Linked DNA regions of Nothobranchius furzeri. The protein of the gene in region 1 interacts with the protein of each later gene in a biochemical or structural test. Links are inferred from orthologs where the notes say so. Each region holds a gene or a part of one and is shown in the gene's direction. Other genes may lie near its edges. The genes, in order: lrp2b, dab1a and clu.

Region 1 (11,030 bases):
GTGCACTCCTGTCTATATAGCTGTGTTTGGCAGCACACGATCATGGAAAACACCTGTGTGTGACACTCCCCGTTTGTTAGTCTAGTTTCACCTGACTGTCAATGACTGTCATCAATGTAGCAAATATTCAAAGCAATTCAGTATGGTATTGATGGTATTATGTTCTTGACCAATTCTGACAATTGAACAGACAGATGTGCATGCGAGTACTTATACAATGAAATCATGCTGACATGTTTTGGAGAGAAAGATCATTAGACTGAGAATCAACTAATCGGTTTAGATCTACAAGATCTATTCAGTTGGAAAATGTGCTAAATGTGGGCTAACTGTGTAACTGTAGGCTGCATGTACTTAATCATTTGCAAAGATGCACTGAGACAATTGAGAGATGTACTAAGGCATTTGCCATTTGATAAAATGAATGAGAAATGCCATTATGTTGTGAACATTTGCCAAGAGGTTTGGAGGTTTGTCCATGTTATTTTGAGAATGTAATTTCTGTTTTAAGAAATGAGCCAAACCAATGGATAAAAACTGTAATATTATTTATTACAGTTTTTCTCAATTGCTATAACACTAAAATCCATTGACTGAAGATAGTTCTCAGTTGCTTGAACTCATTAAGCTAACTGTTGAGCCTGTTGTCAAAACCTTAAACCATTTCACACGGTTTAGCAAAACTCTAAACGCATTCTCATTCTTAAAACACATTCTGCACTCTAATGTACACATCATCCATAACGGTAAACACAAGTGGCACACATTTACCCATAACAGGAGCACAAACGTCATTGATTGAACAAAATCAGTCAAAATAGAATTCACTTGTTTCAAATGATGTGACAACCAATATAAGCAAGTTCAGAGAGCAAACAGGTTGTTGAAGGTGGGAATGAGAAAGTGTAACAATGGGTAGAAGAATTCATGTGAGAGGACAAGGACGGGTGCATATGTGAGGTGGGGGATGAGGAGGAGGGCAAGAGAGAGAAAGAGGAGGATGAAGAGCAAGACAAAGAGTGGAAATATCCAATGAAATCTGAGCAACAATCACAGACCACGTTGTTGTCCATGGGCTGACAATGAGGGAAGCAGGGCTTTGAGTGCAACCCAATTTGAGCCTCAGGAGGGAAAATATTGCATGTGATGTCGATGAAGTGCTGTGGCCTGACCCAGCCCGCAGACAAGAAGAGGCCCATTGATAACATGTTTAGTCCTTTGATGTTTTTCATTTTATGTATTTTTTTCACTGTCATTGAACACTGTTGCACAATGGTCTGCAGGCTGCATATATGGTTCAATAAACAAATTATATGGCTCTGAACATTGTGCTTTCTATTTTTTGGTGTATTGTTTACTGACTGATTGATGGTGTATGCAATTTTGAGTAATTTGTTTATGATCTGAGAGTTGTGTTTGATTTTGAGCACAGCTAAAACTGTTTTGAGGCGAAAGTTTGATTTTGCAAGAGGAATGAGAGGTTTTGTAAATCGTGCTCGAAGCTGAGGTTTTGTGTTTAATGTTTCGAGAAAAGGGAGCAAGGTTTCAGGAATTGTGCTTTAGCAATTGAGAAAAACTGTAAGATAAATGACATCTCAATAGTGTCAGCGATAGTATTTTATCGTATATTGCGCCATGGACGTAATTTTCACTTTAGAAGTGGGGGGGACACGGGGGTGGGGGTATCTTCACAGTATGTTCTAATGGGAAACAGGCTTCAACACAAACGGTTGTTTTCTGCTTGGTCCTAGAGCTCAACCAGTGTCAATTTAATATAAAGTAATATTGTTTTTGGATGGTAAAAAGTGCAGGGGTCAAAACTTCACTTTGGAAAAAGTGGGGGGGACATGTCCCCCCCCCCCCCCCCCCCCCCCCAAAAAAAAAATTACGTCCATGTATTTGTTCTCAAAGGTTTAAAATAGGGTGATGTGGAACCTTGAAAATAGCTGCAAATAAATATTTCTCTGGGGTAAAAAGTCCACCAAAAATAAGGCAAGATAGTAATGTATTGTAACAACATGAAAACTGATAGTGAAATTTTATAAAACTCACTGAAAGTTCCCTCAATCATGGCAAACAAACAGGTACTGTGGCTCTTGCCTTTTTTTTATCATTCTTTACAAGGAAATAATCTGTAAAACTGGTTGAGTGAATTTTTACTGGCATTCCACCTGCTTGCATCTGGCTTAACGGAAGTTCCCATAAGAATCATCTCAGGTGGGAAAAAAATTACAAAACATCATGAAACAGAGGTTAAGCGAGGATCATTTTTACACATAAACTGCCCTCCCAAGATGTCAGAGATTTACCCCATGAAGAAAATGTTATTATGATATCAAGCAAAGCAGTTCGACTTCCCTAAAAGAAATTGTTAAAGCTGGTCACATTTGTCTTTATTTTTAATCAGCTTTTGTATAAGACCTATAATCTACATGATAATGCATGCAGTTCTGGTTAGGATTGGAAGTTTTAGCTCGAGTGATTTTCTTCTCATATGGGGTCCCACGGGGCTCTGTACTCAGCCCTCTCCTTTTTAATTTATACTTGCTCCCACTTGGTGCTATTTTTAAAAATACGGCCTTAACTTTCATTTTTTTGCAGATGACTACGCCCCCACTAAAGTTAAGGAAATAGCTCTAATGTGCCTTTGTGAGGTTAAGGACTGGATGAGCTGTAATTTCTTGCCGATTAACTAGTCTAAGACTGAGCTAATTATGCTGGCACCGAGTGGTTCTCCTGTATTTCCTCAGTCTTTGGTGAATGGCCTTTCGAATTGTGCAAAGGATGTTGTGTTTAATCTGGGTGTTAAGGTTGATTCTCAGCTTATTTTTTATTTACAAGTCAATTATGTTGTTCAATCATGCTTTTTTCAGCTGAGAAATCTTTACAAGGTGAAGTCTTTTTTGCTTAAGAACCATTTAGAGAAGCTCATACATGCATTCGGAACTTCTCGTTTAGTCTACTGCAATAGTCTACCATGGCATTAAGCATGTATTGCTAGGTTGCAGCTACTTCAGAATGCTGCAGCCCGTCTTTTGACTGGCACTTGTAGATTGAATCATATCACTCCAGTTCTTGCCGCTCTACACTGGGTCTCGTTTAAATACCATGTCCAATTTAAGATTTTGGTTCTGGCTTATAAATGTTTAGGGTTAGGGTACTTGTCTATCTCTCTGAGCTTCTTGTGCATTGTGTTCCATCTTGTGGACTGAGGTCGGCTGACAACTTAGATTCAATGCCCCTAGGGCGAGGCTACAGAGAAGAGGTTTTAGGTCTTTCTCAGTGGTGGCACCTATTCTTTGGAAAATGTTACCAATCACCATTAGGCAGGCATCATCTTTTTTTTTTTTAAGTTACTGAAGACTTATTTTTACTCCTAAGTTTTTAACACCTTGGGCTTAAAGGGTTGTCCTGTTTTTTATGACTTTTTTTTCTGATTTTATTTTTGTGCTTATTTTATGTCTTTTTAATTGACTGTTCATTTTTTTATGTCAAGCACTTTGGGCAACATTGTTGCATTTAATGTGCTGTATAAATAAACTTTGATTGACCGATTTTACAAGATTTTTAAAAATAATTCAACAACAAGCTGAGAAACCAGAACAGAGGACAACTGGTGGTGTTCTCACAAAGAGTAACTGACTCACTTTCCCATTGAGAAAAGTCAATCTTTTTATTGTAGTTTTGCAGAGCAATGACAGAATCAAGCCTAAATAGTTTCACATTTACGATAAGAGGTCATTTTGAATTTCTCTATGTGGGAATCAACATTTTCAGTGACGTATCAACATCTGATTGGGCGGATTTCAAGTCTGTTAATTTAAAAAACAAATGGTCTTAATACAAAGCATCATTCCTGCAGTCAGGAAATGCTGATAAAACTTAATTTGCCTTTCTGGAGAAACTCTGAGCTTCTGATTTCTGCTGCACAGCTATAATAAACCAGATGAGCAGAACTGCTGTAACAAAGTCATAAAAAACAATAAAGTGAACAAAAGTTGCTTGTCGACAGTTTCTTGGTAATTCCTCAATGATGTGGCAGTTAATGGATATAAAAATGCTGTGTGATGCATCTTGTGGGTAAGTCTTATATTATTATCCAAGAAAATGAAGGAACTTATAGTGAAATAAAGTATCTAGCATGAGCAATAAGTAAAGAGAGATGAGAGAGGAGCTGTGGTGCATGAAAAGGTCCGGAGTGGCGGAGAAGCGTTAGAGTGGTGCAGAACATGCATGAGAGCAGTGAGACAGCAGTGAAGTGCTGTAGGACTTAGGGTCTACAGAGCAACAGAGGGGGTGGAAAAGAGATGAAGAAGCATGTGGTGCAGGTTGGATGGAGAAAAGTGTCAGGAGTGATAAAAGGTTTCTGCAAGAATGAAAGGAAAGATGTAGAAAACAGCTGTGAGAGCAGCCATATTGTCTGGTTTAGAGACAGTGTCCATGAGGACAAGACAGAAGACAGAGCTCAAGATGTTGAGGTTCTCTTTGGGAGTGACGACGATGAATAGGATCTAATCTGAGTCCATCAGAGGGGCAGCTCATGTTAAATGTTCTGGAGATAAAGTCAGAGAGGCAAGACTGAGACGGTTTGGACATTTCCAGAGGAGAGACAATGACGAAATAGGACAAGAAGCTAGTAGACATGTTTTTATTTGATTAGCCATGGGATAGTAAAGGTTTTTTGACTATTTTCATCCTCCTGAGTGCCTAAGATCCAATTCTTTTTTGTATTGCTTGTATCCCTGAACTAAAGAGCACCAGAGGTACTCACAACCACTTCACACCCTGGAAGCACTCCATGCATTTTTGATGTTCATGCCTTAAAACATGTTTATTATATGTGGAGGTTTAGGTAAAATTAAACCTATAGTTCAAAGGTCAGTACTGTGTAAATGACAAACCTGGGTGTATCAGCCGGGCCCTTCATGTATCTACCAATATCTAATACACTGATCTAATGACCATCTAGCATCTTCTAGTTCACGTGGAAGCCAAAGATCTTAGGGGTCAGTTTTAGGATGCAAAGATTTCCATTCTATGAATTAAATGATTAACCCTTTTCACAAAAAAAAAAAAAAAAAAATATCAGTGATTTTGTTCTTATATCTTTGTTCTTTTTATCTACTTTTCAGATTTGCTTAAAAATCCAATTATTTTGTTTTAAAACATTTATGCAACCATACAGATTTTAAATGAGAGGTCAGAAATTAACTCATGACTCTGATGTAAAATTGTCATTAAATTATGTTTAATTTCAACAAAAAAAACGTATTCAACTTTTGTCTGTATCCAAACTATTTCAGACACTATTATATTTAATCTGACTTAAACCTTTCACATTCACCTTCTTGCCTCAAAAATACACCAACGTGTTTTTGCTGACGTGGACCACACATCCACAGGTAAAAGTTAATCTTAGATGAAGTTTATGTAAAACAGCAAGTCATAAAAACCTGTATAACTCTGTGTCACATTACTGATCTGCTGGTTGGTTGGGGTCAAGCATCTCAGTTCCAAAGTCGTTATCTCCTCCACGATCATTTGGGTTTGGGAGAGCCGTGGGTGCAGAGGGAACATGAGAGCTCAGAGCTGATCAAACTAACACCAGAGCTGAGAAACACTGGAGACGGAACGTGAAGGTTCAGTTATGGGCCTAAAAGGGCTTCATGTTTTGTCTTTACTGCTGCTGACCCAAGGATTTCATCTTGTACAAGGTATGTGTTTCCTTGTGTTTTTGCTGTATTCTAAAGCAAATATGGGTCAAATAAAAGAATAGGAGCTCTGAGCGATGGCCAGTGATGGCTGCAGGATAAATTCATGCTTTCTTCATCCTATTTGTTGACCAAAAACAACTTTGTGCATCAACATCATGGTATCATGACAACATTTGCTTTAAAGTTTAAACCAACTCAAAACTTATAGATTTAAATGGGAGTAAATTTTCTGTGCAGTCAGATACAAATAAACTACACGGGGTAAGTTAGAAGGTTGTGATAATCTGTAGAAGTTATAAACTGCAGTAATCTTAGATGGAAGCACACTTTATCAATATTAATTTACACTGATCTGTATGAAAATGTCTGCAATGTTTCTTTTGTTTTTGTCTCTCTGCTTTCCCAAACTGAAAACAAGTAATCCTGATGAATAATCTCTATAAATATAAATAAATCTGAATCCCAGAGTTATAAAAGCACATTTGTTCTTGAAATCTGGTCTGAGAGTTTAATATATTTCAGGATCACAAGATCGTGTCAATTCAAGGTGAAGAATTAACTATTCTTTAAAGACCAGATCACATGCCACAAGTTTCAGATACTGCACAAGAAGCAACTTTAACTGTCATAAACATGGTCGCTCACTCGTAAAACATAGGAAAATATGTGATGTTTTTACTGAGGTGACACGGACATCAAACATTTAATTTAATGCTATAAATTCTGTAATAAAACACTTTGTGACCTGGGCAAGTTCAGCAGCTTTGATATTGGATCTTGGTGCACAATTATTAAAAAAGAAACACATTTAGATTATATTTCTTATTGTTTTAAAATAATGTTCAAATGCTAAAATATTGTAAATGATAAATATCTGTTGATTTTTTTTTTCTGGTGTCATCTCTAAAGGCCATTTTCTACCAAACACAAAAACTAACTTAGGAGTTTTAAAAAAAGCTTATTTAGAAAATATATATTTTACTTGAAAGAAAAACTTGAATGAAGTTCAGCTCACACCATGCCCATCAAAAAATGAGTATAATTAAATGTCTGAGGGTTTTTTTTTTTTGCAGGAAGCTGTGGCATTAATGAGTTTCAGTGCACCAATGGTCAGTGCATTAGCAAAGAATGGCGATGTGATGGAACTAAAGACTGTACAGACGACTCAGATGAGCTCAACTGTCGTAAGTATTATAACCATCTGCAATATAGATGGCATCATTCTCAACACGAGCTAAAAATGTCAATTTTAAACAAAATACAATTGATAAGAGCTAAAAGTTTAAATTGAAAGTCACCTGACTAGCAGTTAAGTGATGTAAGGTGAATGAATATTGATTAAAAAATCACTTGTTTTGCTATTTTGTGGCAGCACCTCCATCCTGCACTTCACAGGAATTTAAGTGTGTGACAAGTGGAGAGTGCATCTCATCAGGGTTTGTCTGCGATGGGGAGGAGGACTGCGTCGATGGCTCAGATGAACAGAGAACCTGCGGTAAAATACACAAACCAAAGATTTTATTATGTTTTCTAAAGTGTTAAAATGTATGTTTACAATAATTTCTATCATATTGGTAAAAGGAATTAAATAACTGTAGATATTTTAGCTGAAATGTTTTAGAATCCACTAGATGGCAACATCGCCTCAGAAGTAACTATCTGTTAAACTAGAACGTGTCATATGTGCAAATAAAATGATTGCCATGATTGCAGTTATTTGCTGCCATAAGACTCGTGTTGAGATGATTTGCACCTGTCCTTTAAAGATATGTTCTTGTAGTTTTTGAACACAAATGCATGTGGTTTTCTAGACTCATTTCATGGTAGTAATAAAGACTTTAGTAAGAGTTGTGGAGAACATTTTAACTAAGTTCTGAAAAGTTTAGGTCATCCTATAGGTACGTCCCAAGCCATAACACATTCATTAAAACATATTAATTATGACCAATAAGATGTGATGATTCCATATAAATATGAAATATCAATCTGATTCATCTTTGAATGTTTAATCAGAAGATTCTAGGGTTCTTTGCTTCATCAGGGACCATAAACACACTTCGTATTAATTCAGACAGTCAGTACATAGTTTATAAAATGAATTTAATTATTTTTCCCAAACTAACATTTTATACATGACAAGATATGAATAATGAGATGTGATGTGGTGGATGTGAGATGTTGTGATGGAAGCTTGATGTTGTAGCAACCGTTCTTTGTATCTGAGAGAAATTGTGAAATCTGACTGTAAAATAATTTGTTGTTTGTTATAAACTAGAGCATTGGTTATTGATAAAAACCTCATCAGACGCAATCTGTTGTGTCTACTACCCGTGTGGAGACCCTTAGTGCAGATCCAGAACTGCCAGAAGTCTGGTGACCTCAAGATATTTGAAGCCGTAGATTAACTCTGATACGACCCGTCCAGTCTTGAGATGTCTCCAGGTCACAACAGGCAGCTGGAATGCTTGTCAGCATCCAAGGTGGATGTTTGAGAGTTGAAGTAGCTCTGAAAAGATCTGTTGTGTCTGTAATCATTTGCAGCGTCACAGAAAAGTTTTGCCTTAAGGTCAAAGGAGTTTGTTTCTAAAGAGGCTTCTTTCCCGATTTGGCCGAATCAGGGGTCAGCTGGAAACTGAATTAATCAGGAAGTAATTCTTGTTTTATTAGACTACTTTGTTATGAGTTTTGGCCGAGTTTGGCCAATCAGAATTTGACACATTTCTGAGTATTTGTAACCTAGGCAACACTGGAGCTGCAGAGCTCAGGCGCCACACCAGGGATTCACAATGACACAGGTGGAGAGCGAGGGTGCAAAACCAGAGGGACACAGACACAAGAGAGCAGAAGTTTGTCTGCGACCTCTTTTATTAACTAAATAAAGCCCCCGTCTAAAAGTATATAACTAAAAAAAAGTTTGAGTCCATAAAAGCAATTAAAACCTGTTCTTCAAGAAAACCCCCAAAGATACTTGGGCTCCTCCGAGATCCACAAAGTCACGCGGAGGGAATTTCCAGGAAGGGAAAGGCGACGTCCCGGCTTCGGCGTCCGACTCCAGCAGTCTCTGGTCTCGCTCTCATCAGGCGCTCGTCTCAGGCGTGATCTCCCGGGGGCTCTCGCCGCTCCTCCCTGACAAGGACAGATCACTGGGGCAGAACCTTTGTCTGTGAAGCAGTGCAATCTCTTTCTCCTCCCGTAGGATCGGCCCATTCGGAGCATCACCCAACATACAACAGTGGAAGCCGTCTACTCACGGATGCAGGCAGAGGTCCTACCTCCACCCTGCTGTCATTCAAAGGCGTTGCTCCCACTCGTTGTCGCTGCACGCCAAGGATGAACTGCTCCTCCCACGATCCAACCCGTTCTGTGCTACGTCCTCTTATATTAGTCCAGTCCCTCTGCCTTCTTGTTTCTTTGGTCTCTTTTTCCTTCCTGCAGTTCTGCAGCTTCCTTCCTTTATCAGCCTGCTAACTATGCACACTTGGTGCGCTTTCACAGTCATGCCCACCTCTTCAGGTGACTGTCATGTCAACAGTGGCAAAACAATCTAAACTAAACATGCACATAAAACCAACAACACACAACAAAATCATGCAATAACACAAAACTGTTAAGAAATTCCAACAATTATTAAAATAATTTAAAGCAACATAAAGCACACATTCCACTGTGTGACATATTTACCAACATCCCTCAGAAAGCCACGCCCTTCTTCAGATACAAAGATTTCTTAACACTGTGAATAAGAATCTTTAAAACTCTTATGTGAGGTGAATATTAACCTTAATATGTATCTTACTGTAATGTGTATGAGTGTAAACAATGATTAACTTGTTAAATCAAACACATAGTGATTTGTGATGTAAATGGATCATTGTAAGAAAAATATTCATTTCAAATTCATTGATTTAAGCACAGATTTTTCAAACATTTCATTTAAAGGGGCATTATGGAAGTTTGACAGCCAAAACATGTATGGAAATAATAAATGTCTTCTTCATACATTCTCCTGCAATGCCCTGGTCCTGTAGAATGAGCCCTGGCATTTTTATTGTGATTGCCTGTTTTTCTGTAAAATCACAGAAAAAGAGAGCTGCTCAGGTCGAGCAGGCTGCTTCATGCGCGTTCACGCTCAGGCATAGCCCGTAGCATTTGCTATCAGTAGCTTTAGTCTTTGTCGCTGTTCCTAACGCCTAGTGACAAAGCTAGCTACATTTCTGAGGACTCTTAGCTACTTTCTGTAGAACTTTCTTCAAGATATTTCCTACAAATTAGCAACAAAATAGCCATTTTCGCTCCGAATCGTTCTTTGAACATTGTTTCAGCTGTCATAAAGGATATAAATGTTACAGATACAAAGGACATTACTAGCAGTTTAGCTCACCCAGTAAGATGTCGGACTGTCGTGCAGAAGATCCAGGTTTGATTCTGGATGTGAACATAGTTTATTTAGAGTTTCTTTTTTACATTAATGGTCGATTTTTTTTACAGTAAGATGCCCAAATTTTTATTTGAGACTCGCCGAACGGCATTGAATTCACAGATAAAAAAGATGTGGGTTCAAATTTTATTTTGGAACAATTTTTCAAGCAAGGGAAGGGAATGATCTGAACATGCAGGACTGACCCATCTTAAACCTTTGTCGGCTGTGTATGAAGCATACAGAACCAAATTATTTAATTAATTAGCTGCACGTTCTCCTGCCCTCTGTCCTCTGGGCCACACACACACACACACGCACACACACACACACACACACAAACACACACACACACACACACACACACACACACACACACACACACACACACACACACACACACACACACACACACACACACACACACACACACACAAGGGACTGTCTCAGCTCTTATTTTGATTAAGGAGTGTGCACGAACAGCATGCCGCCTCGTGCACGAGACTACTATTGAAGCTGCCGTTATGCTTTTGGCCTGAAGGGGCAATCGCGAGCATAAAAATTCAAAACTCCGTAAAGTCCCTTTAAACATCTTGTTCATTCATCACATATGATTATTGTAAGTTTATGAGTTTTAAAATCATGGAGTCTTCATTTATTCAGAGTGAAGAATGTTGATGTCTGGCTTTCATGCAGTGAGTGCAGGAACCTTGGGAGAGAATGTTTGTCTGGGTGTTTTATCTACTTTATGGAAACACGCAATGAGCAGAACCTTCTGGTTTTGGAAGGCCAAACAGAAAGTGGATTTATTTCTGTAGATGAAAGGTTATTATGTTGGTTAATATATAGGTGAAAATTGACCCTTTTGGACGTTACATGTTTCAGGTGGACGAACCTGC
Region 2 (11,030 bases), on another chromosome or scaffold:
GTAAACACCAAGCACACTGTTTTTTTTTTGTGTTCAGGTACAAAGTGTTCCTTTAGCCAGGTTTGGATTTTGGGCATGGCGTTTGTAAAGTATTTCTGCAACAATTTTCTTGTCCTTACCCTGAACAAAGATCACAGCATCATCAGCGTACATAGCTGTGTTAAGTTCAGGGCATATGGTCGGTAAGTTATTTATGTAAATAGAAAATAGTATTGGTCCCAAAATGTATCCTTGTGGAACTCCGACCTTACAAGTAACAGAGGCAGATCTGACACCGTTCATAGCTAAACATGGTGTTCTGTTGTTGAGATATAATCTCAACCACTGAATGCAATCACTTGAGAAGTTGAAATAAGTGAGTTTGTTCAATAAAATGTCATGGTTTACAGTGTCAAAGGCCTTCTTTAAATCCAAAAATACGGCTCCCACACATGGATTTGTATCTAATAGACCTTTGACCTGCTCTATGAATAAACAAAGAGCTGTTTCAGTGGAGTGTCTAGCCCTAAACCCAAACTGGCATTGGTCCAACGGAAATTGACCCTCATCTAGATGGCTAGTTAACTGAACAGCAATCCATTTTTCTACAGTTTTGGACATGATGGGTAGAATACTTATAGGTCGATAATTAGCCAAGTCAGTCTTTAGCCCGTTCTTAAATACTGGTGTAACAGTTGCCTCCATCCAAGAGGAGGGAACTCTAGACTGGCTGATAGATTGGTCAACCATTAATGCAATTGGTGGGACTAATGGTTCAGTGTGTGTCTTAAGAAAATGAGAGTCAATTTCCAGACAATGTACATAGTGAATATTGGTTTGTCATTAAGCAAAAACAAGGGATTGCATTTGGTGTTGGAGGTACCTTAAAGATACTTTCAATTTCAGAAAGTCCTTCAAGAGAACACCCTGTAGAAAGTGGCTGTGTTGTGTTCTCGGCGTGTTCTGGCTGACCGAGCGTGACCACATCCATCAGGTCATCCATTCATCAAGCTTTCTGTAAAAATCCGAAATGAAAAAGCAACTTAACCTTCAACTGATCTTCAAAAAGGAAGGTTATCCCGTTTTAATCCTACAGGTCAAAGCGGAGACATGCGTGCATTTCACAGTGAATACATAGTAACCAGTAACAGAGTCAGATATATTTAGCTAAAACAAATATGGTGGTGAAAAATATTTAGGTCTGCTGCTCTGGAGTTGGACTAGCACCTGCAGGCAACTCAGCCCTCATCGAGTTAGTCTGAAACAGAAAGAAATACTGCAGCAGGACAAGGTTTCATAACTCATGTAAGCTTGTTAGACTGAGAAAATGTTGTGACCACACATTTTATTGTGTCTGACACAGGAGGAGAAAAAGCCGAGGCTTGTTTAGTTTTTAGTTTTTTAACAATTTCTATTATTTCTAATACCACTAAGCCTTGAATGTGGAGACAAGATGCTGGCCAAACTGAGTACAAATGGGCACAATGGTTGATCTTTATAACCATTGACCTAGACAAGTTGTCTTTTTGTTAAACTGTAATATTTGTCATGCAGGCTTTGTGGCTGTTCTTAGACAGTCATTTCTCTATAAAAGTATCCCTAAAATGTTGACATACTAATGTTTACAAAGTATTTACTATTCCTTCTGGGTGAATTCCAGCCCGTCCTATAGGTCCTTATGGTAACCAACTCAGTGTGTTTGTTTACACGAACTTTGTATTATTTAATGTTTTTTTTATGTTCTATGCCATTTTTTCACAATGAGATGGTGGACTGACATCCGTAGCGGTCCAATCACAGCTCTCTGTTGGTTTGGTTGGCCAGTTGCAGCACTCTGCTGGTGGGCGGGATGTTACTGATGCAAAGATGGCGACAGCTCGTTTGAACTGGCGTAATCAACTTTGGACTATTTGACTTGGGTTTGTCTTTGACTCAAGAGCAGATAGAGCTGTGCGTGTGTGTGTGTGTGTGTGTGTGTGTGTGTGTGTGTGTGTGTGTGTGTGTGTGTGTGTGTGTGTGTGTGTGTGTGTGTGTGTGTGTGTGTGTGTGTGTGTGGAAGGTACTGAAAATATCAAGCAACTCAGCTTCAAATTAACCAAACTTCACATCTGTAAAACAAAGTTGTAGCCAAATCTGTGCAACAAAATAACAGACAGGCAATAACATTATCACCCAAAAAGGAGTGCGATAAAAATGAAAGAAATTAGGCAATGAAACACACACACACACACACACACACACACACACACACACACACACACACACACACAAACATATCCCAGCATATATTGGTCAGATGTCCACGGCCGTGACCATAATAATTTTATTATGAAACATCCAAAAGACACGCGCTGAAAGACATTTATGTCACGGCCAGAAAAGACGTCAGTTCAACTTTCATTTTGGAATTATTTTTCAACCATGGCGGAACGTCTCGGTTTGACGTTTCAGCGGCCATTAAACATTTGAATGTTTGCTGGGGTGGCTCTGTTCTATTTTTTGACATAACAAATGGGGACTTTTTAAAATGTGTTGTTTTAGGCATAATTCCAATCCAATCACTGACAGAAAATGGATAGATGGACTTTTTCACGTTTTTAGTGTTTATTTTGGCGGTAGAGACCTATGTGGTAGCACAAAAGGTGGGTTTTGCATTATATATCCTCTTAAACTTGGTGAGCCTTACACACACCCTCATGAAATTCCAAGCCTTCAGTTCTTTAAAGTTCTCACTGAAAACTAGTAATGTGCTTTAAGAGAAACTTTATGAGAGAAAAAAAAACATTAGACAGAGTGAAGGCTTTGCCAAATCCATGATTCAGCAAAGATGAGGGTGGCATGACTTCACTGTGGGTGGTTATCTAATCAGTAACGTGTAATGAATGACAGGATGAAGGCTGCAGCACCAGTTAGAGCATTCATGAGCTGGCAAGTGTTTTTGCCAGCATTACTATGTGTGTAGTAAATGAGTGGGTGTGTGAAGACGATGAAGTCTGGCCAGCAAAGTCATCCTCTGACTGAACCCCAACACTGTCCAAACCAGGGGCGGCGTTAGGCCCGGCTACTTGGGCTGAAGCCCCGGATCTTTCATGGAAAGCCCCGGATCTAAATCGCAGAAGTAACATGCAGTACCAAAGTCCAACAGAGAGGGCGCAGCTGGCAGTAGTTTGTATACAGCCTGCCTGAGCCTCCACCACTGAAGAAGAAGCCCTTCAGCAGCCGGCTTCTTCTACACTCTCTGCCTGAAACGCATGAGTGAAGATGGACATAAGGACGTTTTTTAGACCAAAAGTACGGCGACAGAACCCCAGCTTTGATGAGACTGGTGCTGACTCAGGTTTGTGAGTCTTATTAGAAAATATTTGTTGTGCTGCTGGTTTGCCTAAAGTTAGCTTACTATCAGGTAAAGTTGTTGGAGAAAGAAAGGGAATATTTACTATCATCTCACACTAAACACTAACAGGAACAATACTCTGCCCTGAATATGCTTCATATGTAGCTTCAGATTAAAAATTATGTGGTACAAGTCATATATATATATGATGTTGACTAGTGCGTGTCACGTGTGTGCGTGCGTGTGCGCGTGTGTTAAGCCCCGGATCTTCTTCAGTCCTAAATCCTCCCCTGGTCCAAACTGAGACATGTCCTCAGGTTTGACCACGTGCTCCCCACTCCCTCCCCATCTCTCCTCCTCCTTTATTAAATATTTCACTTTCTAAATCTACCTCTCGGTTCCTCGCATCTCCTCCTCACTTCTTTCCCTCCACCCTTGAAACATGGAAATCAGGGCAGTTCAGCAACGGAGGGGTTAAGACAAACTCAGGCTTGTGATTGGCTGCCGGCCGGCGGTCTGATCCAGCCTACAGAAAGAGGTAACCAGGCAACCTCAGAGAGGGAGAGGAAAGAAGAGGGGGCAGAGGACCGGGGAGTAAAAAAAGAAAAGAAAAGAAAAAAGAAGAAGCGCTGGCTTACTTTTGTGAGAATTGTGGAAAAAGATGTAACAAAGCTGGGAAGTGCTCTCCCCGGAATGGAAGACTGGATTAGAGTCCCTGCTGAAGCACGCTGTGGATGTCTCAGGAAACCAGGAGCAGACTCAGGGATGACTGGATTCTAAAAGCCTCGCTTGGAAATGGGAACTAACTGTGCTCACTTTCGCTGTAGTGCAAAGGTAAGTGCGCTGTAGTCTGAAGTGATGCGGAAAAACTGGAGGAATTCTGCGCAGACCGTGCGCAAAGTGTGCACTTTCTTTTTATGAATGTGTGCGTGTTATTTGGTGTTTGGAGAAGTCTGTGGATTTGCTGTGTTCGGCTTCTTACTGCAATAAAATTTCTATTGCTGCTGCTGGTGCTGGTGCATCGGGGGTTTAGTGCGCGCGCGGATGCTCGTGTGTTTGGCGGTTGTGGAGGAGTGACCCCCTCTGTCAGACAGAGTGGTCAGGGGGTGCTTGTGTGTTCCTTGGCGGGAGGAGAAGAAAAAGAAGGAAGCTTTGCTGCATTTGGCGTCTGCATCTCTGGACCACTGTTCCTAAGCGCAGATCTTTAAGAGGAGCAGCTCGTCCGTGACTCAACCTAATTATTGTTCACGCTGTATTCTCCCCATCCTGTGCAACTTGAGCCCATCTTAACGTTAATGACACGTCACAGCGTAAAAAACTTCCTTTACGCACGGAGGGTTGCTCTGATTCATGCGTTTGGGTGAAACTGGCTGACACGCAGAACTGTCGAGGCTACGCTGATGAAGTTTTAGTATTGAAATGTGTCCGTGACATGTGCGATCTGCCTCTCAGCTACACGACTTCTGGATGATGGAGAGAGGGAAGAAGCGACGGAGGGAGCGCAGTCCGGTGGTTTTCCCCTCTGAGGGGCCCGCTCTGCTGCAGCTAAAAGCCGCATTAATCATGGCTGTGGCTCTGCAGACCCTCACCCTCCTCTGCTCCTGCCTGCATCAGACGCAGATACAGCAGCAGGTGCACAACTCTGGGTTTGTCCTGTATCTGAGCGGTGCAGATATGTTCTTATAATTAAAATCAACAAGTTGCTTCAAAGGAGCATGCATATATTTTTTCCTGCTATCAATTTAAACAATTTTATAGTTCTCGACTATTTAATTGTATTTAGTTGACATTTATTATGAGTTCACTTTAAAAGAGAAACTCCGTTGATGTTATTTATTTATTCCTTTATTTTGGTGCTGCTTCATCCAAAGAACATTTGGCTACTTTTTTCCACTTGAGCCAAACTTCTCTTTCTTTCGCCTGTTTGGGCCCAGCTGGCGGCTCCAGGTTGTCATAGAAACCCACGGAGCATTGTAACTCTCAAAGAAGGTTCTTTTTTCCTCCTCATTCTGTTACGTCTTCCTCCCCTTTTCCCCTTTTCCTGCTCTGCGCCATTGTTCTCAACCCAGCCCACCTTTCACAACTTATGTTCTTACAGGCTGCATGTGTGCTGACTGATGACAGACAATGCCTCTGAATGGATGCTAGGTTTAGTCCTGCACAGAAAGCACATGTTTGATTTATCTTCACCTCGAGACAGCTTTGGAAGCAGGGTTGTACCTTTCCGGCTCCTGAAACCTTTCATGGTCTTTTACATTAAAAGGGGGGGTTCTCTTTGTGAGTTTGTGTTCCAGTTAGAGAAAAACCCCATTCCGACTCTCCGCTGATACCTTGTACTTATTCAGGTCTTTGCACACCCTCATGACTACCCTGAATGGGGATGAGGTCCTTTGTGTCACACCTGTTTGAGTAAGTTTCATCAAAACCAAAGAAATCCAGTAAACATTCAAAAACGCCATTTTTTATCAGAAGAAAAGTTCATAAAATACAAAATAACTCTAACTCTTCTTCTAAGACACTCAAATAATTGTTGCAGCGTATGTCGCTGCCTGTTTTGTTGAGGCAACATATTGGCACGTGTTGCTATGGATACAGTTCAATATGAAAATAAATTGACGGCCCATTCAAGTTACCTGCTCAACGAGGCGGCAGCTGGGTCTCAGTGGCATTTCTTTAAATAAGTGTTGGTGAAAACAATGAGCAGGCAGCTGCAGTGGAAAGCAGCACAACTACAGTCCCCGCAGGAAAGGATGATCTCACTTTTAATAATGACACATCTGAGATCTTTGTACCTTTACTTATGTCTTCTCCAATAGATGTTTTTATTTTTATTACTCTGAGTTTGGTGCAGCATGAGGTGCTTATCGTTTGACTATGTTGTGAAACTGGTAGAGACGTAGATTATATGTCAGCATGAAAGTTGTGCTGGTTCCAGCATGTGCCTGACTTTCTCTACAGTGCCTTTACTCTGAACCGTAACAAATATTAAGCATTTCAGAGGAAAATTCCTTTGTGTCCCGTGTCGAGACCTTTGCCTTTCCATCCATCACAGTACAGTCCACGGCTCTGCAGGTGTCTGAGTGTAGCTCCAACTCATGACGGAACAGTGAATTTTTCTCAGTATGAGTCCAAGCTGCAGCAAAAAGACTTCACACAAACCCTTTCATGTCTTTCTTAAATGAACAATGATGACAAATGTTGAATTTGTACTTCTTTGGAACAGTAATCCAAAGAAAGGACATGAAAAATTTACATTTTACGTACCTTTCTGCTGTATTCTTTTTCTAAGATTGTGCTGTTGCACAAAGAGGCAGAAGTGGAGTTGAGAGGTTATTGGCTGGAAGCCCATAACATTGATTTACTTAGTGTGTGTGTGTGTGTGTGTGTGTGTGTGTGTGTCCATGTCTGACATTTTTCTTAGATATAGCTGGCACAAGGAGTATTTTAACAAAGCTTTGGCCCACGTGTGCGTTGTATGCCTTACTTACTTGTTTATTTTAGAGAATTCAAAATCTGGTAAAAACAATATGTACACAGATTCAGACTCTTCTAACGTTTAAAACACAAGGATTTTGCTCAATATTGAAATCTCATATTTTGTAACATCAATACTAATTTATTGGCTAAGAAAATGTTTTCTCTTTAACCAAAATAAATGGTGCAGCTTGTCTATATTTGAGATAAGATAAGATAATCCTTTATTAGTAAGTGGGAAATTTGCATTGTCATAGCAGAAAGTGGACAATTGAATAAAAAAATAGTACCAACAAGCATACCAATGTGCAAGTATTGTCCAAGCACTAGATTGGTAGCATAGTGAGCACAGCACATAATAGGGCTGGGCGATATATCGATATTTTTTAAATATCGAAATAATTTTTAAACAAGGTGCAAGATGACTACGATTTTATATCTTTATATCGATATAACTGGTCAAACTGCTATGCTAGCGATTAGCCGCTATGCTAGCGTCATGTTGCTCCGTCTCTAAGCGGTCATTAAATGTATTCTCACAAGTTTGCTCAATCTGAGAGCCTCTGGGTAAATGTGCTGCTCTAAACGTTGCATTTGGCATCCTGGTTTTTAATTATTTGGGGGCGTTCAAAGGCAACGGAGTTCTGTTTATCCATCCTGAATGTGCGGAGGGACAAGCCAAACCCCTCCCTCCCCTGTGTAATGAGGAAACATCTATGGATAGCTGGAGTAGCCAAATCACCTCAAACATACTGTAAGGGTTTGAATAATTAAATAATTTTACATTAATTATGAATATATAATTAAAAAGTGCCTGTGGGACATGTGATACACCTCTAGCTCTAAACTGTGTGTTAGCAGACAGATGTACTGTACCAGTGTTTCTAAAGCTCTGACTGGTAGAGAATAGGCACTAAGGTTAAAGTTTGACAAGAATCAATACATTTTTATGCATTTAATCTACTGATTTATGTATATAACTTCTCAAGACAGTTTGCAGTGAGTTATCTTGTAAATATTTTACAAGAGGAAAAATATCGAGGTATATGTCGTATATCGGAATTCAGCTAAAAGATATCGAGATATAAGTTTTGGTCCATATCGCCCAGCCCTAGCTGGGCTAGTTTACATCTTTTGACAATTTCAGATTTTTAGTGATTACCTTGCAAGACATATATTTTGATCACCATTATGCGCTGTTTTCAAATAAGTTTTTTGATTATGTAAAGCTTAAAGTTGTCACAACGTGCCGGTGAGTGAGACGGAGGTGAGGATCCAAGTGCAGGGGAAGAAACAGGCAGGGAGGCAGACAGGGTCATTCCAAACACTGATTTAATGGAGGACACGCAGGACAATGAAACAATGAGCCAACCAGACAAAATGGACTAACAGGGTTTAAATACAGGAGGAGCTGGGACCTTGGGCGATTGGGAGACGAGAGGCAGGTGGGAGCAATTAACATGGACACAGGACTGAACAGAATGGGGAGACAGGACAGGGTGTGACAGTCCCCCCCCCCCCCCCCAAAGGGCGGATTCCAGACGCCCACTGGAACACAGAGCAGGGCGGCAGCGGCGGCCTCTGGGCCGGAGGTGTCGTCGTCGGCCTCTGGGCCGGAGGTGGCGGCGTCTGCCTCTGGGCCGGAGACGGCGGTGTCGACAACTGGGCCGGAGACGGCGGCGTCGACCACTGGGCCGGAAATGGAGGCGGCAACCACTGGGCCGGAGGCGGCGTTGACCACTGGGCTGGAGACGGCGGCGTCGACCACTGGACTGGAGACGGCGGCGTCGACCACGGGACTGGAGACGGCGTCGACCACTGGACTGGAGACGGCGTCGACCCCTGGACTGAAGGGGACGTCGACCACTGGACTGGAGACGGCGTCGACCACGGGACTGGAGACGGCGTCGACCACTGGACTGGAGACGGCGTCGACCACTGGACTGGAGACGGCGTCGACCACTGGACTGGAGACGGCGTCGACCACTGGACTGGAGACGGCGTCGACCCCTGGACTGAAGGGGACGTCAACAACTGGACTGGAGACGGCGTCGACCACGGGACTGGAGACGGCGTCGACCACGGGACTGGAGACGGCGTCGACCACTGGACTGGAGACGGCATCGACCAATGGACTGGAGACGGCATCGACCAATGGACTGGAGACGGCGTCGACCACGGGACTGGAGACGGCGTCGACCCCTGGACTGGAGGGGACGTCGACCTCGGACTAGAGGGGACGCCGACCCCTGAACTGGAGGGGACGTCGACCTCTGAACTGGAGGGGACGTCGACCTCTGAAATGGAGGGGACGTCGACCTCTGAACTGGAAGGGAGCGTCGACCTCTGGACACAAGGGAGCGTCGACCTCTGGACACGAAGTTGCGTCGACCTCTGGACACGAAGGTGCGTCGACCTCTGGACACGAAGGAGCGTCGACCTCTGGATTCGAGGGAGCGTCGACCTTTGGACACGAAGGAACGTCGACCTCTGGACACGAGGGAGCGTCAACCTCTGGACACGAGGGAGCGTCGACCTCTGGACACGAAGGAACGTCGACCTCTGGATACGAAGGAGCATCGACCTCTGGACTGGAAAGAGCATCGACCTCTGGACTGGAAACAGCGTCGACCTCTGGACTGGAGAGAGCGTCGACCTCTGGACTGGAGAGAGCATTGGCCTCAGGACTGGAGAGAGCGTCGACCTCAGGACTGGAGAGAGCGTCGACCTCAGGACTGGAGAGAGCGTCGACCTCTGGACTGGAAAGAGCGTCGACCTCTGGACTGGAGAGAGCGTCGACCTCTGGACTGGAGAGAGAGTCGACCTCTGGACTGGAGAGAGCGTTGACCTCTGGACTGGGGAGAGCATCGACCTCTGGACTGGAGAGAACGTCGACCTCAGGACTAGAAAGGGCGTCGACCACAGGACTGGAAGGAGCGTCGACTTCAGGAATGGGGGGCGTCGACCTCCATCGACTTCTGGTCCGGAGGCGTCGACTTCTGGTCTGGGGGCGTCGACTTCTGGACCGCCAACTTCTGGACCGTCGACTTCTGGACCATCGACTTCTGGTCCGGTGGGCGTCGACTTCTGGTCCGGGAGCGTCGGCTTCTGGACTGCTGGCCTCTGGACCGTCGGCTTCTGGAGTGGAGGAGGAGTTGCTGCAGACGGGACCGCTTGGACAGGCTGGACCGGATGCGGTGTGACCTCCGGGACCACCGCTGGAACTGGATGCGGTGCAACCTTTCGGACCACCACGGGAACTGGACGCGGCGTGACCTCCGGGACCACCGCTGGAACAGGATACGGTGCGACCTCCGGGACCACCACGGGGACTGGCTGTGATGCATCCACCGGGACCACCGCTGGAACAGGAGCTGACTGAACTAGTGGTGCCGGAAACTGGGAGAGCAGGGAGGATAGATTGTCCAGCTGGAGCTCCTGGAGACTGAGGTTCTGATGGAGTTGGGCCAGCTCAGCGACTGGCGAGCTCTGCTGGGTGGACTGTGGGCTTGATCCTTTGGCCAAGAGATGAGGGAGCTGCAGACTGGACCGGAACCTTCTGGTAATTAGGGGAGGATAGGGTGTCCAGCTGGAACTCCTGGAGGCTGATGAGCTGACGGATCCGGCCAAGCTCTGCCTGGAGGCCGGCGAGCTCTGTCAGCTGGGCTGTAGGCATGGTCCCTCCGCCTGCAGATGACGGAGGCGCTGATTGGACCGGAGACGGGACTGCTGGTCTGACTGGGGGCGGGTCCAAGCTGGCGCGCCGAGCCGGAGCTGCAGCGAGCTTGCGGCTCCGTCCCAGGACCAGGGGTGACGGTGGAGCCCGGCATCCTTCCCAACGCCGTGGGCCAGCTCTGGGGGAGCACACAGCCAGTCTGATGCCCACGTAGCAGGAGCGGTCTAGCTGTGTCTTCTGGTCCAACCTCACATCTAGCTCCGGGAGGGCGGAGGGGATCGTCGCAGCCGGGGTTCGGCGACGGCGTCTGCGGCGAGACAAGGCCAGAGGAGGAGAAGCCGGCTGGTGATCTGCGGTTAAAAACTGGAGCAAACACTCCCAAGGAAGAACCTCCCCGCTGGATCCTTTACTGGGTTGGCTCATCCTGTCACAACATGCCGGTGAGTGAGACAGAGGTGAGGATCCAAGTGCAGGGGAAGAAACAGGCAGGGAGGCAGACAGGAACATTCAAAACACTGATTTAATGGAGGACACGCAGGACAATGAAACAATGAGCCAACCAGACAA
Region 3 (10,930 bases), on another chromosome or scaffold:
ACTCAGACCAACCCGTTTGGCACCAGCAACTACGCCACGTTCAAAGTCACTTAAATCACCTTTCTTCCCCGTTCTGAAGCTCTGTTTGAACTGCAGCGGATCGTCGTGACCATGTCAGTATGCTCAAATGCGTTGAGTTGCCACCATGTGATTGGCTGATTAATAATTTAAGTGTTCTCAATAAAGTGGCCAGTGAGTTTTTGTTCATGTTTGCTTTCAGATTAGTTTGAAAGAAATTTTAATGTAATTAATATGAATTATTGTTTAGTTCACCAACTAAAAAACAACACTTTAGGTATAAATTTAGTTTTTTATGCAGAATTCATTCAAGGTAGTTTCAGAAATATTTAGCTTGGATAAATACAACTAGGCAACACTGTGGTGTGTTGGGTTGAACTGCATTTTTCATGTTTTCCTGCAACTTCCTGCCAAAAACTATGTAGGTCGTGTTAATTGGGGATTTTGAACTAATGAGTCTGCAGGATTGTTTACCTTTTTTGCTTCTTTGTGTTTGTCTGGTGACCTGCAAGTTATAGTTTCTGCTCTGAGCAGAGTTGAGCAATGGAGGAAAATGTTATTTTCACGAAAGCATCTTACCAAATATTAAACAATCATTTAATGTGTCATCAGTGTAAAGAATGCTGCTTGTTGTTGCATTACAAAGCTCCATGTTGCTCATCCTGGTTTCAAAGTGGTGGTTGTGTTGTGGTTGGAAACATCAGACATTTTAGATGAGTCACAGTCTGTGAATCAGATGTTTGTCTCCCTGCTCAGCAGCGTTCAGCTCTGCCGATAAATCTGAAAACTTCTGGAAAGGTCGTCATGCGTCACGGCCATCAAGTCACCGGAAATAAACGCTGCAGTCACCGAAAACATGGTTGCATTTCAAAATAAATGTTTGTTTTTTTACTCCACATTTGTGTAAAAGAAGGTAAATTTGAACAAGTAACATAATCTCACTGGAGCTTAAACCTTGTTCTGTTTGAAGTCCGCTCTTATTCAGTGACACAAATGTGAAAATTATGGAAGAAATAAAAGATTTAACAGTAATGTGAGATTAAAAAGTAACCTAGTAGCATAGCTTATTTTAGCAAAAAAGATGTATTGTAGACAAAATGATCTGTTATCGCTTCCATTTTTCTAAATATAATAAAATCAAACAATACATTAAATCTCACTGAGACAAATACATATTTTTGTGTATCTCATTAAAACATTTTAGGAGCAGTGTGCTTATCAGCTAACAACCAGCTATCTGTAGCATTACCTTTAAATGTCATTCTATTTCAATAAATCCTCGTGTTATATGTTTGCCATGAATTTCAAACACTAAATATGTCTTTCGTTTTGTTTGTGTTCAACTCGACTAAACGTTCCTGTTAGTTTTATTCTGAAGGGTCAGGCAGGAAGTTGGTGTGTTGTTACGTCGCTGGGACGCCGTTGATGCTGCAGCCTCCCTGCACCGTTCCCGTTAGCCTCCTGCTGAACATAAATACCGGCAGCAGCGGCACTGGTGTGGCTTCAGATCCAGGAAATTCAGAGGTGAGTCTCAGGAACTTTCTTTCTTTTTTAATCTTTTGCACCAAAGGGATGCGCATTAAGATAAATGATGCTTTTTCGAGTTCAAACCGCTTCAGATACTGTTTTATTGTCAAATGATAATTGTAATAAGAATAACATTTTGTAAGTAGAATCTTTAAAAATCTATTATTTAGGTCTCTGCTGTTGATTTATGGTGCAAACATGCATGACTGGTGTTTGTTTTGCTTACCCACGGGTGTGACCTGATTAAAAGCAACTGGATTAGTTTAGATGACGTCACTCTTTGGTTGGTTTACCTTACAGACATCAGCATAAACACTGCAAAATAAGAAAAGAAAATTCAACCAAAACAATAAATTTGTCAGTTTTTTTTTATTATCTAACAGACATTGTAAACAGCATCAATGTATGCTGTTAATTTATGATCCCGCTGACAGAACTTAAAGTTTTTATACATGATTTATTTGTGTTCATTTAAAGATGACCTTGATTTTCTGCATGGCTGTTTAAAAAAAGTTCCTTCTGGGTGCACAAATCCCCAAACACTTAAAATAAGGTGGAAATGGGGCCACACGTGTAAGCGTCCCATTTGCAGAAAAGATTAGTCGTTCTCACCTTACATGAACCTTAATTATAACCTTATATCTCCGTAGGATGAAGGTGTTTTGATTTTAAATGCAAACATCAAAAACATTCATCCTAAATATTAAAATACAGCAAAAACAATATATTATGTTTAATTGCTTCATGCAGGATGTGAAAACATTAAAATAGGCTTAGGAGTCTCTTAAATTCCAAAGGAGATGTTCTGCAGGCTTAAATTTTCTTTAGGATGAAAGTTTATTATTAATAATAGTAGTAGTAGTAGTAATAATAATAATAATAACGATAACTGGTTATTATGGAAAAGAAAAACAATCTTTGCAATCTTGTCTTTTTACAAACTATTAAGAAGTCCATCTGTAGTGCAGTGGGTGGAGGGTGCTGCAACATCTGGAGGAGTGTTGGTATTTCAGTTGTGTAACCAGAATCCCTGCAGCTGTGGCTCTGCAAACAACGCCGTCCGACTCCTACCTTGTCTGACTTTCTCTGCTGTTTTCTCTCCTCTGACGCACGTTTTGTTCTTTCCACCCACTACAGTTTGCCATATTTTCACATTGCTGTTTCCACAACTGATATTTAAAATCTAAATGTTTAGGACAAAATGAAAAATGCTTTACCAGAGATTTATCATCAAATAAATCATGAGCTCTTTGTGTTTTATGATGTCTGTTCTTCCGCAGTGGGTTTTAAGCCTGCAGTTAAATTGAATAACCTTAAAAATGAAAGTTGTTCAAACAAAATATTAACTCAACTTGACCTGAAAATCATTAAACATTGATCTGGTGATTACATAAATGTGGTGGTTTGGAATGAAGAAGCTGCTGCTTCTGTGTTTTTCTTGTTACCATCGAAACAGGTGGTGATGGTGGGCGTGAAGGTGACGGTGGACAATAATAAACCATAAAATGTGATTAAAAGATGAAAAAATAAAGTCGTTTACATCTAAACCAGCTTTGTTTGTTTTGATTCGGCCCAGACTAAACAATAAAAGAACCTTGAGATAATAATCGTGAGAAACTTCAGCAGACTAAATCACTGAAGGCCAATAAATCCAGACCTAAAACTGTTAGTTTTTATTAACGTAGAGCAAAACCATCAGATCTGTTGGATTCTTCAGTTTCACAAAATATCCATGGTTTGGATGTTTATATTTTCTAGAAGTTTCATATATCAAAATTTCTGTCAGCTGCATAGTTTGGTGCTTGGTTGATGTGTTAATTCCACACGAGAAGAGTATATTCTACTACCAAAGAAAATGGAAGTACATATTTTTATTGTGAAGACGAGTTGTCGTGGTGATTTATTAGTTAGGAGTTGAGTGTTTTTTTGGTAACGAATCCTCTGATCCTTCATCCATCTGCCAACTCCTGCAATAGTTTGGTTACCTGTAAGGCGCCGTGCACAAATTCAAATGTCACCATTTTGCAACAGCAGAGACCTTTCCAAGGAATAAACCAAATCCCTGCAGATTTAGGATTGAATGTTTGTCTTATTCTTTTACTGTAATTTGTATTAGACATTATAATTTAGTGAGCCGCTTTGAATGGCAGAAGCCTACTAATCACCTGCTGATTGAAAACAGGTGTGTTGAAGCAGGGTTAAAACCAAAACGTGCTGGATACCGGCCCCCTAGGACCAGGATTGGGCACCCCCTGCTGTAAAGCGTCATTTTAGCACAAATGATCTAAACATTCAATAACTATTTTCTCCTAAAAAATCTGCACCAACTCTTCTTCTGCAAAACAATGACATCATCAGCAAAAGCAAACAGTTTTCTTTAAGGAGATGTTTCTATTTTGTAACTTTCAGCAGCAAATTTCAATGTGTTGCCATGGAGACGGGAGTTTTAGTTTTATTCTGTTTATTTAAACCATGACTCATTCATTTAGTCTTCGTTATTTAACATGAAATCTTCTGTTTCCAGCATGAGATGCAAATCCTAAATGTTTCCTGTGCTTATAGACAAAAAATGATTGTGTGAAGTGTTAGAGAACATTAATTACACCGCCCAGATAAATCAGCACACAGATGAGAGTTCGTCTTTCTGGTAGATTCCTCGTCTTTTATTTATCCTGCGTGCGTCTGAGGAGATAAAACAATCTGAAGCGGCAGTCTGCTGAATCAGCTGACCTCAGAGAGGGATGGGTAAACAGAGAAAGGTCCTGCTGTTTGGTTTCATAATGATGCTTTTCACGGGAACAGCCGGTCAGTGTCACAGGAAGGGCTGATCTGAGGTCAGTGTGAGCTCAAGACAAACATAATGATCAGTTATTTTGGTGTTTTGCTGAGTAATGCTTGAAACTGCAGAGCAAACATCTCATTTTTCTGCAGCGTAGATCCATCCGTCTCCTCTGCAGCCGCAGGTCTCCCCCTGCTGGACCCTCACTGTCATTACAGCAACTTTAAACTTTTCTTTTTTAATTTACTCGTCATTTCCAGCTCCCTTTGAGTCAGAGAGGATGCTAATAATAATGATGATGATGAAGAAGAAAGGCTCTAAGGAGTCCCTGGCTGTGATGGCTCTTGCCCTTCTGTCCTCGGCCAGCTGCATCCTCCCGCCATCGAGGGAAGATCTTAATGGTAAAGTTTGAACGGACAGATTCCCAGGTTCAAACTGATATTTTCTACATGACATTTTCATTTTCTCATAATTGATCTTCAGAGATCTCCGTCCAGGGAGAGAGGTATCTGGACAAACAGATTGAAAACGCCATTGGCGGCGTGAAGGAAATGAAAAATGTGATGCAGAAATCTTCTGAAGACCACAAGAAGTTTTTGGATGCTCTGGAGAAAACAAAGCAGCAGAAGGAGGTAAAGAAGACAGGAAGAAATGTATTTTATGTGTAAAAATTCTTCTAGACTCATTTATATGTGATGAGCTTTGTTTGGATGCAGGAGGCGATACGGACGGCTGAGGAGATGGAGGCCAAACTGGAGAAGGAGGAGGAGGTCTGTAACGAGACGATGAAGGCTCTGTGGGAGGAGTGTAAGCCCTGCCTGAAGAACACCTGCATTAAGTACTACTCCCGTACCTGCAGCAGTGGATCTGGGCTGGTGGGACGCCAGGTCAGACACACGCACTTCTCTGGGAAACCTGCCACTCCTGAAAAAGGTTTTGATCAAAGCCAAACGTCCTCTCTGAATCCACAGCTCGAGGATGTGCTGAACAGAACATCTCCCTTCTCCATCTGGATCAACGGGGAGCGGATCGACACGCTGGAGCAGGAGGGACGGCGACAGAGCAAAAAGTTCAGGAACGTGGAAGAAAAATACACAGAGATGTCAGAAGGAGTGGAGAGCATCTTCTCAGATAGCATGAAGGTATCGCCGAGCGCGGATTAGCACACGACACCAGGAGTACTGGATCTGCTGGAGATTCTAATCCCCTTCCAATAGGAAAAGGACATTTTATCATGTGATCCAATCCTGCTTTGACAGAAACAATAAAAAATGACCTAATCAGCTGTTTGCGTTTTTTTCCCAGGTGGCTGATCATGTCCACCCTCCCATGTTCTTTTTCCCGAGATTCCTGGCTCCGGTCATGCGCCGCAGCAGGAGCATCCACACGCTTTTCCACGATCCCTTCCACAACTTCCAGAGTTTGTTCTCCCCCATGATGGGCAGGAACCTGTTTGGCTCCATGGATGCCATGACAGACCTGGACTCTGACACTCCAACAAATCAGGGTAAATTAATGCTGATTAAGGCCTAGTCCACACGTAGCCGGGGTTTTTTAAAAACGAATATCCACCCCTCCAAAAACTTGCATCCACACCACCGCGTTTTAAAAACAGACTCTGTCCACACGTACCCGGATAAATACGTTGTTAAGGACATGCCAGACCTGTAGGCGGCAGTACTTCCCCCGTTCTTAACCTCGTCCTTCGTCTGTGGTCTTCCGCAAGGAGCAGTAAATCCTCTTGAAAAAACAAACGAGCAAAAAGCGCTTGGACAATTGATGGATCGGGTAGTGACAGAGCGCAGCTCTGAGGGCTTCCATGATGCCGGCCAGTGTAAACACAGGTCGCACACGTGATTGTCAGCATTGTTTTGTCGCGGAAAGTGACGTTGCGGACCTTAAAACTCCGGTTTTGCCTGTCCACACGCAGACACCCAAAACGGAGAAAACGCAGATCTTCACTTTGGCCGGAGTTTTTAAAAAGATCCGTTTTCGTGTGAAAAAACTCCGTTTTCGTGTGGATGACAGGCCAAAACGTAGGACAATATCTACGTTTTGGCAGATCCCCGGCTACGTGTGGACAGGGCCTGAGATATATTTGACCATTTTTACCTGACAAATAAATGTTTTAGTAAATAAAGTTTTCTTTTGACTTTTAAAATGTCCTGTCCATTTGCTTGCTTGCTTTTATTTTGAAAGTATATTTTAATTGTCAAATTAACAGTCAAATTTTAAAAGTAAACTCCTGACCTGTAACCTTTAAAGAGCAAGTCACCCCCAAATCAACTTTTTTTTCTGATAAACTATATAAATGTGTGTCTAATCGTGCTGCAGACACGTGTAGTCAATAGTTTTGCACTTTAGTGCATTTTACTTAAAATTTTAATTTTCTGCCTAAAACTGTCAGTGTTGTGCTGTTGTCAGGTAAAAACTCTGCACTGCGTTTGAATTTAAATCTGCCATCGCTATTGGCTAAGAGGTACCCTAGAACATTAGCTGGTACCATATGATGTCACAATGTCATTGTGAGCCTGTGTGAGTGTGTATTTGTTAGAGCTCCGCCCTCTCAGTCTGCTAGGCAACAGCATTTGTTGCATTTTTCAAACAGGAAGTAGGAGTGGAGTAATACTCTGGTAGGGGGTGACTTGCTCTTTAATGACTGAATAGACTCTGTGTGTGTGCGTGCGTGTGCGCGCTACCTGCAGACGGCAGCGTGAACGAGGACGTGATCATTACGAGGCCCTTTGGGAGCGGTAAAATGACCTGCAGGGAGATTCGTCGCAACTCTGCCGGCTGCATCAAGTTCCGTGATGAGTGTGAGAAATGCAAAGAAATCCAGCATCTTGGTGAGAGTGTTGATGTATTATTGATAATAAATCAACTTCCTGTTCTATTGACCTGTTTTCACATACCAATTATTAAAATTGTAACATTTGTCTTTGAATGAAGAAAAACAGTTTTTTTGTTTTGGTTTTTGTACCATCATTGTTTATAAGAGTGTTTTCTAAAATCTGACCTACTTCAAGTCTAATATTTTGACTTGCCTGCGTGTTAACCTGTGCTGCATTCCATTTAGAAGTTCAGCTCGTTAGCAGGAACCTGCTGCAGCCAGAGTGGAATGCAGCCCTCGTTAACACACCTGTGCTTCCATCAAGGTGTCTGTTGTGAGAACGGCTTCTCTGTGCAGCTTTTGTGATTTTTGTCGGATCATTTTTGACATTTGTCCCCAACAGACTGCTCTGGGAAGAAACCTCTGGAGGGTCCTCTGAAGGAGGAGCTGGAGGAGGCCCTAGCCATGGCCGAGCGGTTCACGCAGCAGTACAACGTCCTTCTGAAAAGGTTCGAGGAGCAGATGTTCAACACCTCCTCCATCCTGGACCTTCTCAACAAGCAGTTCGGCTGGGTGTCGTCTCTGGCTAACAACACCCAGGACGGCATCTTCCATGTTAAGGTGGTATGACATTTTAGTCAACTTAAAGCACCACTAAATAAGTTTCCCACTTCTCCCTCCTACTGATTGAAGACGAAATTACAACTGTCGTACACAACTCTGCCACAGCCTGCTGTAGCTAGCGCTAACAACGAGCTAATGCTAACATAAAGAAACTGATATATTAGTAAGCCACGAAGTAAAAAGATCCACACTGTTGGCCAAAATAATATTACATAAAAGTCCAGTAGCAACAAAGCCAGGTCACCATCAGTCAGCGATTGAGCCTCCTTTAGCTCCCTCAAACAAGTGAAGTCCACGCTGATGTTCACTCTGATTTTAGCTCTTTGCTTCGCCCTGTAATGGTGCGTGGCTCGGGTGCTAGCTGAGGGTAATTGGCTTCCACGCTCGAGTCAGCAAACATACTACTTGTTATGGTCGACAGAAAGAAAGCAGCACAAATGGGCAAGAATTCATTTTCCAAGCTTTAGTCGAAACCTACGTCACATATAGCGGTATGAGGCATCCATTTTAACTCCCACTTGCCCCTAGTGGTAGACACCAGAGGTGTGGCCAAGTCACTGCTTTGCAAGTCACAAGTCTTTCCAGTCAAGTCTCGAGAGAAGTCCAAGTCGAGTCCAAAGTCAATGATGTGGAAGTCCAAGTCAAGTCCAAGTCCTTAACTTTGAATTTTCAAGTCATAATCAAGTCATCTGTCCAACTTCAATTTAATGACAATGATAATAAATAAATCCCGGAAATAAAGCTTATTTTATTTGCTCAAACAAGTAGAAAATGCAAGTGAAAATGATTTTAAACAAAGTGCTGCTTCATTTAGCAGTAAATCAAACCCAGAACGAAGAATGGTTTATGATTTTTGTCCATGTCGTGCCACTTTTGTTCTAAAATATCAAATCTGATCAAGTCAACAGATGCAAGTCGATTCATGTCGCAAGTCATTGGTGTTCAAGTCAGAGTCAAGTCGTAAGTCTTTATAGATTTTATCAAGTCAAGTCAGAAATCATTAAAAATAATGACTCGAGTCTGACTCGAGTCCAAGTCTTGTGACTCGAGTCCACACCTCTGGTAGACACAGTTCTGAAAGGTAGATTACACATTTTCGCTCATTGTTTGAAAACTCACAGTAACCTTGCAAAGACAGTCTTGTGGGAAGTAACGTATTTTCCCTTCATACATGAAAAGAAGTAGCCTGGCCTGCCAGACTCGTCCTCTGTTTAGTTCTGCACAGAGAAGGGTCTGGGAGCTCTCCTATTCAAATAACCCCGCCCCCTGAGAATTCTAACCGAGCCAATCAGCACTGAGTAGCGTAGTCACACACCATAAAGCCGAGTTTGTCAAACATGGCGACTGACGCAGGGTTCGCTGCAGCTCTTTCCTCTGTTCTAAATTACTTGGACACGTCTTTAAATCAACAAGTAGAAGCGCTAAAAGCCTTTCTTCTAATGAAAGATGTTTGCGCTGTCACACACAACGACGCTCAGTTTCTCATAAACAACTAAGACAGAGGCGGAGTTCGCTGCAGCGCTTTCCTCCATGACACCATGACTTGAATGTCTTTAAAACCACAACAAGTGGAAGCGCTAAAAGCGGGGGGGATATTAAGAGCAACGTGTTCCTGCGGTGTCCATGAGGGCACACAGGGTTGGTTAGCGTTCCTCCTACGTCCGTCACAGCGGTGGGTGGGGTTTGAGCGGGTGCGCTTTGCCAACTTCCAGGGAGGTTTGCTACCGGACGACAAGATGAACAGCTCTCTACAGGGACTCGTTTCTCGTCATTCACTTTGAAAACCCGTTCAAAAGATTTGATTAGTTCATGAATGTCACATCACTACTCTGTGCAGATTTATCAGAGGACGAGTCTGGCAGGCCGGGCCAGAAAGGAAGTTGAAAATAATAGGTCTACTCTGCAACATCTGTAGTCATCTAGTAGCAACAGTAACAAGCTTATTCACAGTGAGGGTAAAATCATAAAAAAGGGCGAAGGATGCCCTCTAGTGGTGATACCTAGTATGAATGAATCACTTCAGTGACTGAGGTGCAATCAGGTCTTTTACTCCGAGGCTCCGCCATGATACAAAAAAAAAGCAAAATTATTCTTCAGTGTTTTATTAAAGGTCTGCAAACTGAAAAAGGTAACTGCTAGCCTTTAAGGGCTAGCTGCACAGTAAACAGCAAGTAGAGACCTCCCAAGTGTTCCTACCAGAACCACAAAACTGTTAAGTAAAGTTTCTGGTCAAGTTCATGGCCCAAGAACCACTGAAACCAGTTTGAATTCAACAGCTTCAAGTGTGAAAAACTCTTTAGTGTATTTATTTATTTGAAACAAGTTCACAGAGAAACAGTATTTTACTTCATTTTGAGATATGATCGTTCACTCAGAGTTTCACATGCTGACTGAACGTGAAAAAAGCCTTGAAACCCTATTTCCTGCATTAGCCGGGGAAACGTTCAGATTAGAAAAGCCAACGTCACATTACAAATTAACATTCATGGACTCACCCATCTTGGCTCGCAACCGAGGAAGGCTGCTGTTGTTTTAGTGTCCAGAAGAGAGCGGAGCACATCTCTGCTAGCAGAAGCTCACAGTTAGCATTAGCAACTCCAGTACATGCAGTGGTAGAGTTGTGTTTCTGTTAGCCAATCAGGGGCGAGAGGTCTGAAAATCGGGAAATAAGACTCCAAAACCTGCCGTCTGCTATACTGGCCAACTTTTACTTCCTGGGATGGGAGCGAGAGACTGACTCACAACACATTTACCAGAGATCTCTGCAAATGTATAGAATAAAACTTTAAACATAACTTTTCAGCTCTTTTTCCCGCTGCAGGTGGTGGCTACGGGCCCTGAGGTGCAATCAGGTGAGAAGGAGCCTGCAGACACCAGAGTGTCGGTGCAGCTCTTCGACTCTCCATCCATGAACTTCACCATCTCAGGCGACATCCCCTGGACCGACCCGAAGTTCTCAGAGGTTGTGGCTCAGGAGGCTCTCGACCGTTACAAGGAAACCAGCGTGTGAGTATGAAAATAAAAAATGTTTTCCAGCCAGCTGCAGGTTTTCTGTTAATACAGTGATGTCCACCAAAATCTGCATCAGTGACTTCTGGTTTCTTTGTCTTTCTCTTCTAGTTTGGTCAAATAGAATTCATCTGGATTTGCAC

Evidence for each region.
Region 2: the proteins of lrp2b (region 1) and dab1a form a complex in vitro, tested with the Homo sapiens proteins (2 studies listed by BioGRID). The link is inferred for Nothobranchius furzeri from reciprocal best matches to the Homo sapiens genes LRP2 and DAB1.
Region 3: the proteins of lrp2b (region 1) and clu form a complex in vitro, tested with the Homo sapiens proteins (3 studies listed by BioGRID). The link is inferred for Nothobranchius furzeri from reciprocal best matches to the Homo sapiens genes LRP2 and CLU.

What each region holds. Positions count from the first base shown.
Region 1 is NC_091756.1:35,641,704-35,652,733, reverse strand, and holds the start of lrp2b (low-density lipoprotein receptor-related protein 2), read left to right. Parts: upstream 1-5,485; 5' UTR 5,486-5,647; coding exon 5,648-5,714; intron 5,715-6,787; coding exon 6,788-6,898; intron 6,899-7,086; coding exon 7,087-7,209; intron 7,210-11,016; coding exon 11,017-11,030. UniProt on the Homo sapiens protein: Multiligand endocytic receptor. Acts together with CUBN to mediate endocytosis of high-density lipoproteins. Mediates receptor-mediated uptake of polybasic drugs such as aprotinin, aminoglycosides and polymyxin B.
Region 2 is NC_091748.1:41,689,697-41,700,726, reverse strand, and holds the start of dab1a (disabled homolog 1), read left to right. Parts: upstream 1-3,750; 5' UTR 3,751-4,147; intron 4,148-11,030. UniProt on the Homo sapiens protein: Signaling adapter of the reelin-mediated signaling pathway, which regulates the migration and differentiation of postmitotic neurons during brain development.
Region 3 is NC_091742.1:12,219,673-12,230,602, reverse strand, and holds the start of clu (clusterin), read left to right. Parts: upstream 1-1,395; 5' UTR 1,396-1,542; intron 1,543-4,584; 5' UTR 4,585-4,604; coding exon 4,605-4,725; intron 4,726-4,807; coding exon 4,808-4,956; intron 4,957-5,040; coding exon 5,041-5,211; intron 5,212-5,295; coding exon 5,296-5,466; intron 5,467-5,629; coding exon 5,630-5,831; intron 5,832-7,029; coding exon 7,030-7,170; intron 7,171-7,557; coding exon 7,558-7,775; intron 7,776-10,599; coding exon 10,600-10,784; intron 10,785-10,898; coding exon 10,899-10,911; 3' UTR 10,912-10,930.